Tribolium castaneum: one gene and its partners. The protein of the gene in region 3 interacts with the protein of the main gene of each other region in a pairwise test. Links are inferred from orthologs where the notes say so. Each region holds a gene or a part of one and is shown on either strand. Other genes may lie near its edges.

Region 1 (2,952 bases), on a different chromosome or scaffold from region 3:
TTTATTTTTAATATATTTATTGTGTCTTATTTTTGTTTTTTTTTACTTTTTTTGAATTCGTAGATAATATTTACTTACAAGAAAGATAAAAGAGAATATTATCAAAAACGCCAACATCGCATTTTCTCTCAAAATTAGTTGTTAAAAATTATTTATGTTCTTCAAAAAATTAGTAGCTAATGTAATTTATACTTTCAATGAGAGATCAAACCATTAATAAGTATTTTACATTTTTATCAACCTTATGTAAACTTAAATAGTGAAACAGCTACTACTTATTTATTATACAAGACGATAATAGTATATTATGATACGAGTTTTATAAGACGCAATTTGTCGCACGCAGAGATAATGGAGTAAGTGCGACAAAATGCCTTATAAACGAGATATCATACAGTATTTTTTCTACTTTGCACCTTTTTTACCAAAAAAATTAATTTCGAAATTTAGGGAATTTTGTGGCAGTTTTGCAACGTACCCCTTAACAAATACGGGCTTTTGTGGCAAATACATGAAATTTGAAAATTGGCCTAAGGATAATAAGATCTTACTTACTTGCACTGGCTTTTGAAGTTATGTTTGTACATTACTCGAAAGGGGTTTGAAGAGGCTACATATTAGGGATGGTACAAGGGCCTCTAAAGATTCGTATTTGATTCATTTGATTAAATTATGCACTTAAAACAGGTACCGATTGACAATGACAATTCTATCAGATAATTGTCAAAAAACTAGGTTGTCAACATTATCTAACTAAATTACCCTGGTTTTTAGTGTAATTATTATAGCACTCCGTTGGATATTATGATCTTTTTATTATGACATCTTTTTTAAATTTTATGTAAATTTAAAAACTTTATTAATAAATTAAAGACATTTTATTTGTTGGGCTCTGCTACCTGTTAAAATTAAGACTCGTATTTCTGATATACCCTATAATAGGTGTAAGTGTGCGAAAATGTTTATAATGCGAGAAAACGTTTTTGTTTTTTTTTTGGTCGAGACCAAAGGACAATAAAAATAAAAAACAACTTACACTTTGACATCCTGGTGTTGCAGATTCGTATATTTTTTGCGCATACTCCACAGCTTTGGCAACATCGCCCAAAGCTCGAACATAAATCGCCAAAGACTGTTCGTGTTTTCCCAAACGTCCCAAAATTATCGCCCTCTCTTCTAACAAACTATCAGTCGGGAAATGTCCAAGGACAGTGTCGGCAGTATAGTGTGAACTTTTTTTCAAAAACTCGAGCAATTTTTTACGAGTGTGTTCGGCTGCAGCGCCCTCACTTATCGCCTTTTCGCGATACTGATGCACTAAAGCGTTGTGAAAAAGTGGATTCGTGTCCTCCCAAACATGCACCACGTGCTCAAGATACGGAATAACTACACACGTGTGTGAACGGAGGAGGAAGTCGAGGACGCGAGGTCGAGGCAGTGCCTCAACTTCGGCCAAGTCTTCCGTAAAAATCTGAAATTGCACAAGAAATAAACAAATTGCCCCCCAAACTTTAATACAATTGCGTGTAAATAATAATTACGCGTGAAGTTACAAAAATAATTAAATTAAAAACAATGGACACAAAGGTCAGTTCATTGGACCTGGTCAGGATTATACTGCACATAAATAAATTATCAATAACTTATTTTTTATTTTTGGATTTGTATCTAATCTTTCAAACATCGGATATTTAAGATTCAAATTACTAGTGCAACGAGTTTTGTTTAAATCGTCTATTGACAATGTTCTTTTCTTTACTGTTCTGATGTTCCTATAAAAACACAGGAACATTCATATTAAGGTAGTTGGTGCCTAAATTCATTTTCTTAAGACTTTTTTAAATTTTAATACATTATTGTTCAAAGAATCCCGCATCGAATGTTCCGAAAATAAAACTGATCGACCGTCTAGTTTTAGTTTTAGTTTAGTTTTCATTAGAGAGTTTTAACGGGTCCTCCGTTATTCGCTCGTTATGAAAGAAACAAACTTTTAACGTTCACGTGAAATTTATTGAAAAGACGTATTACGTCTTTTCGTCTTACTTGTCGTATATATTATATGTGAAATGTTATGAAAATTGTGACAAATTTGTAAACTTCGTCTTTGGTGCAATAAAGACGAGTTAACACTTTTAAGAGCAGTTCTTGATTAGAATCTGTAAGAAATTACAATCAGAAGTAAAGTATTCGTCAAATCATTTTGATGTAAAAGGCTCCACGTTTTGCCAATAATTTAATTTAAAAACGTACGATAAAGAATCTAAGACGTTCACGTTTAACGTATCACTCAAAACGTTTCGCTAAAACTCTTCTGGTATAAAAACCCTCCTTAAGATTTTCATAAAACACTAAATCAACATTCAGCAACATCTAATAAGTATTTTAGGAAAAAAAAACTGGGGGTCACCGTTTAAATTTTGGTGCTATTAATTATAATTAATACAAGGTGTCCGTTTTTCGAGCTCCAGTTATTATAAGATATACGAGGTCGGTTAAATTAGGGAAAGTTGCGCATTTTTATGCTGAACAATTATCTGAAAGAAAATTTAATGTGTCACTTTTAGTTTTTCAATTATTGAGAAAAATAAAAAAAATCTTATTTTTGTTTTTATTTTTTTATACAAGAATCAAACAAGATAGATGTTTTTAAGTAGGACATTCCTCGGGCACTTTTTTACAAGAAATTGTAATTGTCATTGCCTTTTCCATGGCATTCTTGATGGCAGAGTTACAACACTCAACTTTGATTTTTCTTATTGACGCCATATTTGACATTTGTTTATTTAAAAACTCTTTCTGTTCCTGATTACAATGATGTGACATGATATAATCAAATCTTGTATGCGGATTAAAATTAAGAAAAAAGCGTTTTTCCGAAAAGTACTATGGAAGAAACGTCAAAAATGTAGTATAAGGATACATCACAGGATACACTAAAATAGAACTGGCAAC
Region 2 (3,661 bases), on a different chromosome or scaffold from region 3:
TACAGAGTGATTTTTTAAAAACGAGTCACCCTAAATAAACAAAAAATTAGAAAATTCTGAGACAGGTTAATTTTTATTTTCAGGGAGACATCTTTAAGTGTACTTTTGAAAGTTGTAACATCAACCTCCTTTGTAATACAAACAACCCCTTTAAAATTTTAAATGGCATGACCCCCTTTTAAATGAAAGGTATTTCGACCAGAAATTCGACTGTGTGTTTTTTTTTGAGTTTCAATAATTTTTTATAAATTTACATGGTACTTAATTACCTGATAATCCACTGTTCAAAAATGCTTCTTTATCAAAAAGTCGACTATGGAATTTAAATTCAATGTGCCGGTGTTGTAAACGCTGTCAAATTTTTGATTAGTTGTTTCCTCATTTTTATGTATTTCTCGGCAATGTTGTTTCAATTGTGGGCTTTATCTTGATTTGTGTTTTACATTCTCGTGTTTACTTTCTTTGAAGCCTTTTTCCATCGCTTCTGACAAAAATCACAATTCCGATTTAGCGGCATATTACGTTTAAAATTCATAAGTAACTTTTACAATAATTTGTTCTGCTATATCTTGTTCTGTATAATGTAAATAAAAATACTGAAAACTCTAAAAAAATTACACGGCCGAAATCCTGGCCAAAATACCTTCACCTAAGGTGTCACAAAGGGGGTGATGCCATTTAAAATTTTAAAGGGTTTGATTGTATCACAAAGGGGGTTGGTGCTACAACCTTTAAAAATTCACTAAAAATTGACCTGTTTTGGGATTTTTGAATTTTCTGCTTAATTTCTGATATATTCATGGAGGCTCGTTTTTAAAAAATGACCCTATATTTTAACGAAGACATAACTTCAACTGAAGTACCAAAAACCGGGCCAACGAAATAAGTGGAATTTTTATTAAATTTTCGGAACAAATCAATCGAACAAAAATCAAAGAAGAGCTCTTGTGTTGAATTTACATTCGTTTTATTTATTGTTCTTTGTTTTATTATTCATTAGTATTACATATTATGTTTTCACTAGGATAACGTATACAGCTGTAAAGTTGTTAGGTTGGTAAGCCGTGCTTTTAGTGTACCTTTTGGTAGTACTAATAGTACTAATTCATTTTTTAAATTTGACACTTGGCACAAGCGCAGTATGGAACTGAACTAAACTGGATATTTTTTATTAAAAGAAAGTATTATTAGTCTCGATACTCTGTTTCTGGACTAGTATCAGAACTTCACAAATTTAATTTAAGTGAATAATTAACAGATTTTAAAAACTTTCAAAGCTAACTTATTTACACTATTTACTTTCGTTGTTAAGAATATCGTTTACTCAAAAATCACATACTTTCTGCTTCATGTAGCTTTTAATTTGAACTAAAATGACCTTGAAACGATATATTTCGCTCTGTAAAGGGTTAAACTAAGATATCTAAGTGAGATACAAACGAAAATGCAAAAAATGTAACTTGAAAAAGATGCCAAATTTTATAACATTTGTTAAATGGTTCCGAAGTTATGTAGTAAAAACGAATTTTTTACATCTAATTGTGAGAGCTGTAAAGTTCATATCATTACGTAGAGTTAAAACACAATATTTAATATCAAATTAATACCAGAAAAGGTATTTAGGATGAGGAAAGTTTCACTCGATCTAGATTCTTAACATTAACATTATATTCCATATCGAGCGCGATTATTATTGAACACAACTACATCGGTCCGATGATTAAATTACTTTATAAATGAAATCCTTTCCTAAAACTGGTTGTTGTCACAAATCAAATTCTGGCTGGGTGTCCTCCGCCTACATACTTTTTTTTCTTTGTTGTTTGGACCCCGCATGGACCAGCTTAAGGAAAAAACGCAAAATTCAAGCTCTTCACTTATTACATTGTTTAAATAAGTTTAGATCCAATTTTGTGCGTTACCTTTGGCATGTTTGATATTATGCAGCAAAGAATGCCACTGATGCAACACTTGCGCCAAGTGGTCCAACCCTCCGTGATGGAAGTGCAAAATTTTGTATTGCGATTCCCTCGAAGCCACAACAAGTTGTCCACACGTGCAATTTGCATCGTTGAAAAACAGTCTCAGTGACCTCATTTGGCTCAAATCAACACTGAACCTCCTGCATTTATGTAGCTGTTTTGTTGGTAAAATTGGCGAACAGTTGTTGCTTTCGGGGAACATCAAATTATGCTTTTGGGCGAGAAATTCCGGTGTTGTGATCCAATTCAATTGGCTGTCGTTTGAAGTAACACTGCCGGAGCGGGAAAATTCGAATTTTTCGCCGGAATCTTTGACGCTGTCTGGAGTTGTAACGATTTCTATGTCGGGATTTGCGATGTCGACGTTGATGTTGATGATAGTGCCTTGCTTGTCACTGTCTTCGGAACTGAGGGAATCGGTGGTGTCGTAGTTTAGGAACGGGTTCGTGCTTTTGAGTTCGATACTTGCTGGACGTTCTGCAAATAACATTTTTTATTTATTACTTGGTTGAGAAGTTGGACCCACTATTTTTCACAGTCGAAGGCTCTGCAAAAATCGTGGAAATTTATGGTTGGAATGTAGTTGTCCCAACCAACAGCATTTGATATTTACCAGGATTTTCAAAATAAAATGCAATAAAAATGTTGTTTATTTATTTCTTTTTACAACAAACAAATAAGTTGATAGAACTAGATTAAGGAGCGGTTTATAGAAGCTTCATTAATTTAATCTGCAATTAAATGCAATTAAATGAATCCATTGGGTTGCTTCATTCGCGTTGTTAACACTTAACATCCCAATTAACTTTAATTGAGCTTTCTATAAACCGGCCCTTAGTGTTGTCAATTTAGTGATTTTTTCTTAATTTGGGTGAATTCTTAGAATATTTGGAGAACCTTTAGACTCTTTTAATATTATCCAAAAACGTGGTAAAGAGCATGTCAGGCATTTTTAAAGAATATTGTTTCAAATATTTTGGTGATAATTCTAAAGATACATTGGGACAAATTCGTTTATAGAATTATGATGATGGATTTATAAAATAATCTAAAGAAAAGGATGGAAGCTGGATTTTAGATCTACAGACGGTTTAAAAAAAAGAATTAAAGAAAAAATTTGAAGGACGTACCATCAAAAACAATGCTAAGAAGGGTGTTTACGAGTAAATTTAAACGTTCGAGAAAATACCAAATTAGTTAAAAAATTTCGTATGATGTTTACCTTTTTCGAAAGTTAAAGCACGTTTTTGAGCTAAAAAAATTGTTATTTGGGGCGTTTCACGCGAAGCGGACAACAAAAAAATTGACATCTTTAAATTCGGTTATATTCAGGATTTTTTTGTATGACACTTATTTGTGAAGATAATGACTTCTAAAAATTTAACAAAATATGAGACACAGAGTTTTTGGAAGCTTTTATTCAAAAAACTGATGCAGACCAAAATATTTAAAATAGTGTTTCATATTTGATTTTGAAACCTAATTTAGAATTTGAAATTTTTTTCGCGAAGAAAACCGGAAGTGAAGTTTCAAATCCGAATTTTAGTAATTTGGACCATTTTTTAAATTTATTTTTATTTCAAAAAATAGCTTAGAATATCTAGATTTTACACTATAAGTCGCAAAATGGGATCTCTATTCCTTTAGGAGATACAGTACTTAATGTACGTGATCGGCCG
Region 3 (3,779 bases):
AAGCTGCAACAATGCAAGTCAAACCCCCGCAGCGGCATTTTATATAACGCAACCACCTCTTCGCTGACTTTCAAGTCAGGTATGGCATGCACCATGGGCACGGAAGCCGCCACACTGACGTCGTTTTTCCTCAAATCCGTGCCGCATTCTGCGCACATGTCGTTCATCACCGTCGGATGCGTGCATTCTTTCAATTCGCACAAAGTCTCGCTGAAAATTCGAGCGTGAGCTTTCGCGCGCCTTTTCAAAACTGTTGCTTACCCTGGCTTGACAATGGCGCCTTCCTGCGCCACAATCTTAAAAATTGTTCCGGCCTGTGTTACCTTCAACTTGCGTTGTTCCACCTTGGAAGCCCCGTCAAAATCATACAGAAGGATTACTCTTCCGATCGAGACAGTGTTCCCTTCGCTCACTTTCCATTTTAAAATTTTTATAGGTTTTGTTTGTTGCTGTGATATGCACATAGTTTTTTCCGCCATCTTGCACGGAAACGACTTCACTCATGAACGCAGAACGCGGCCTGATTGGACGACGCGTGCACTTCCGGGTGCCATTACTCACGCGCCCGTTTCAAATTTTGGGTAAAACAAACACAAACTGGCAATACAACTTATATTTGATTATATTACATGAAGCTTACATAAAAAATTTGACGTTTTACAATACAAATTTATTTAATGAGATAAACACTACATTTCTTAATTAAGTATAATAGTCGCAATAAAACACATAACACTATTATCACCAATAACAAAAATAAAGTTGGTTTAAAGTAAGATGTAATGCTTCTGAAACGGCTTTTCGGTTGGTACTCTATAAAATATGAACTCAAAACAATAAATATGTGACCTGTATTGGACTAACTATACCACACTCTTAAAATAATCACAATAATAATCCTTTCATTACATAAATTAGTGGGGGCCAATATCACCATATGTATCAAAATATTTGAAAAGTTTTGTCTCTAAAGGTTGTTGAACGATGGGGTAAAGTGCAACTTGCTAATTTGGAAGATATCAGATCATTAATTTATGTAATAAACCTGTGCAGTCACTTTCAATTCTTTAATAAGGGTTTCTCTCTTACACATAATGTAACCCTCAAGACAGACAAGTCATCTTAACAGCAACTCGAACCCTGCGAACCCCCGGCGCCGCCTGCACCAGGAAGCGATGGATTTGTGGGGGAATGTTGGGGGCCAATCTTGATTCCATTTGCCTGCACAATTTCAACAACAAAATTTAAAACACAATAGTTGTGAATTTGAGTTGGCAGCACTATACGTGTGACGTCTCAAGCTGCCAACTTAATTTCAAAGTCAGAAGAAAGTATCACCAAAAATGGGGTAATGAACTTGCTAATGTATAAAATTATTGATTTCTAAAGTTTGTGTAACCTTTAGAAAATGCCAATTAGCTTAACAGAGCAGAACCGCTGATTTACCTCATTGTTAATGTCAAAGACTCCCTCTTGTATTTTCTCATAGATCTCTTTTGCTGTGTTTATAAACGCTTCTTCAACGTTGGCGGCCGTTTTTGCTGAAGTTTCCATAAAGACTAGTCCGTGTTCTCTGGCAAAAGCTTCTCCTTCTTCCTTTTTCACTTCTCTCCTACTCTCTAGATCACTGGAAGGGTTTAGTTAACACTTTTGAAAAAAAAAAAAATAAAACGGGATGAACACCTTTTGTTTCCAATCAACATGATGACCATATTTGAGTTGGAATGCTGGCGGGCATCATCAAGCCATGTAGTCAAATGGTTGAAAGTCTCCCTCCTCGTAATGTCATAAACTAAAAGAGCGCCAGCAGCCCCCCGATAGTACGACCGCGTTATAGATCTAAAAGCCTCCTGTCCGGCAGTGTCCCAAATTTGTAATTTGATTTGTTTGCCATCAATGGTGATCATTCGAGCGCCAAACTCCACCCCGATTGTCAAATCATGAACTGGCTGGAACCTCTTGTCCGTGAACTGTAGTAACAGGCAAGACTTGCCCACACCTGTAACCCCATTGTTTACTTTACGTCCGATAAGCATATCAAGCTGATTTTAATGAATGCCAAACACACTCCACCTCCCCCAATCAGAATCCCGGACAAGTTTAAAACACAAAGACAGACCTTGACACCCATCCAAGATGAATAATACAAACGAGTTATACGCAAAATACAAGAAAATTAAACGAATCGATTATGATTTTTTACGGGAATTACCCGAAGCAACACCCACCTGTGTCACCTATTATAATGTACTTGAACAGATACGCGTACGACATTTTCACCACACGAAACTATAAACTAACAACTTGCTCTAATTACTTCACGGCTTATCACCGAATTTATCAACTTCGTAAAAAGATGACAGCTGTCTGCTGAATGCATAGAATATAGTAGTTATAGAAAATCAAGTAACACGTAATTCACTGGTCGTCAAAATTTCGATAATAGCGCCATATCTTGGTAGTATGAGGAACTAAAATTGGCGGCAAATTTAAATATTTTATTATTTACACAATTAATTTAATTTTTTTATTTTTTTACAATTTAAACACACATAACCGATTTTATTGAAAATCAGTTAAATGTGTTTAATTGCAAAATTTTGTTAGTATTATAAATATAAAGAAAAAATAAATACAATGAATGAAAATAATTTATTAATAAATTAACGTTTCACAAATTATGAAAATATCAATTATAAGAAATAAATGTCGTGTTTGGCTTCCACATATTAATTTGGCGACTTCCTCACCCTCAAAAAACGGTTATTTAACATTATTTTGTAACTTGGAAAAAAATTAAAGAACTAAATAAGTAAATACGGACCCTAATAAGGTACTATTGGAGTTTTAGACATGTGCCCAATTCAATTTTCACAGAAAAATAGTGCTTTTAATAGTTTGTGCAAACATTTCTTGTATGTTTTCGTGTTGGTAGTAGGCTCACGTAGATGACTTTACAACAAATTTACTTATATGAACTTATTATGCGTAAGAGGTTTTTCTGATTTTAATGTAAGGACTCCACTTTGGTGGATTCAGGAGTTCTAAGTTTCCTTGAAACTTAACGGGAAAAAGGAGGGAGTTAAGATACGTTTTTGTGGCTTTTGTACAAATGAATGAATGAACGCGTGTATTAAATAAAAGACACTATGTGCAAGGTAGAAGTCTTAAACGGTGTCCATCATAGATGTCCACTTGAAAAATGAAATTTGGTTTAAATTCTCGAAGTTATTTTTGGTGCCCAAGTCGATTTGTTTCTGGATAGCTTTCACAAGTAGAGAGATGCACTGTTTCGAGAATCATGTGTTCCAGCCAGCCAAAAGTTGTTTAATAAACGTTGTAGGTTGCCTTTTAAATGTATAATAGGTCCACACCAGAGCTGGAGATATGTATTACATAGTATTTTTGGTGGCAAAAAAATCCCGACTTACCAAATTTTAGCCTTCGAAAGTTCAAAACTTAAATGTTTTTGAGATTACTTTAGGAGTAGATAACACCAACAAACGAATCCAAATAAAAATAAAGAGAGAAAACCACGAACACAACACGTAGCAAAATAATTCAAATTGGAAATTGAAACATTTAATTGAAAAAACTTTTTGACACCGTTGAATGTAGTGTGACATTGCGCACCAAAGGTTGCTTAATATTTTGGATTTTTGGATAAATTCGTGGATTTAACTTGAAATCACACTACCAAAAGATGGCATGAGTAGTTTCTATTAACGACCGTGCCACGTACTCTAAATTTACAGAAATCTGCATAGATAACGCACGTG

Evidence for each region.
Region 1: the proteins of Rab2 (region 3) and Vps39 interact in a two-hybrid assay, tested with the Drosophila melanogaster proteins (2 studies listed by BioGRID). The link is inferred for Tribolium castaneum from reciprocal best matches to the Drosophila melanogaster genes Rab2 and Vps39.
Region 2: the proteins of Rab2 (region 3) and TBC1D16 interact in a two-hybrid assay, tested with the Drosophila melanogaster proteins (2 studies listed by BioGRID). The link is inferred for Tribolium castaneum from reciprocal best matches to the Drosophila melanogaster genes Rab2 and TBC1D16.

The regions. Positions count from the first base shown.
Region 1 is NC_087402.1:12,345,353-12,348,304, forward strand, and holds part of Vps39 (vam6/Vps39-like protein), read right to left. Parts: intron 1,472-2,952; coding exon 1,037-1,471; intron 1-1,036. UniProt on the Drosophila melanogaster protein: Part of the homotypic fusion and vacuole protein sorting (HOPS) tethering complex involved in endo-lysosomal vesicle trafficking and lysosome biogenesis.
Region 2 is NC_087399.1:11,383,233-11,386,893, forward strand, and holds part of TBC1D16 (TBC1 domain family member 16), read right to left. Parts: intron 2,460-3,661; coding exon 1,923-2,459; intron 1-1,922.
Region 3 is NC_087396.1:10,630,831-10,634,609, reverse strand, and holds Rab2 (ras-related protein Rab-2), read right to left. Parts: upstream 2,395-3,779; 5' UTR 2,275-2,394; coding exon 2,229-2,274; intron 2,000-2,228; coding exon 1,684-1,999; intron 1,628-1,683; coding exon 1,447-1,627; intron 1,222-1,446; coding exon 1,123-1,221; 3' UTR 599-1,122; downstream 1-598. Other genes in the region: Fcp1 (RNA polymerase II subunit A C-terminal domain phosphatase), read right to left, coding at 1-3, 57-210, 262-479. UniProt on the Drosophila melanogaster protein: May be involved in bidirectional endoplasmic reticulum (ER) to Golgi trafficking. Together with Rab7 involved in promoting fusion of autophagosomes and endosomes with lysosomes, probably through recruitment of the HOPS tethering complex.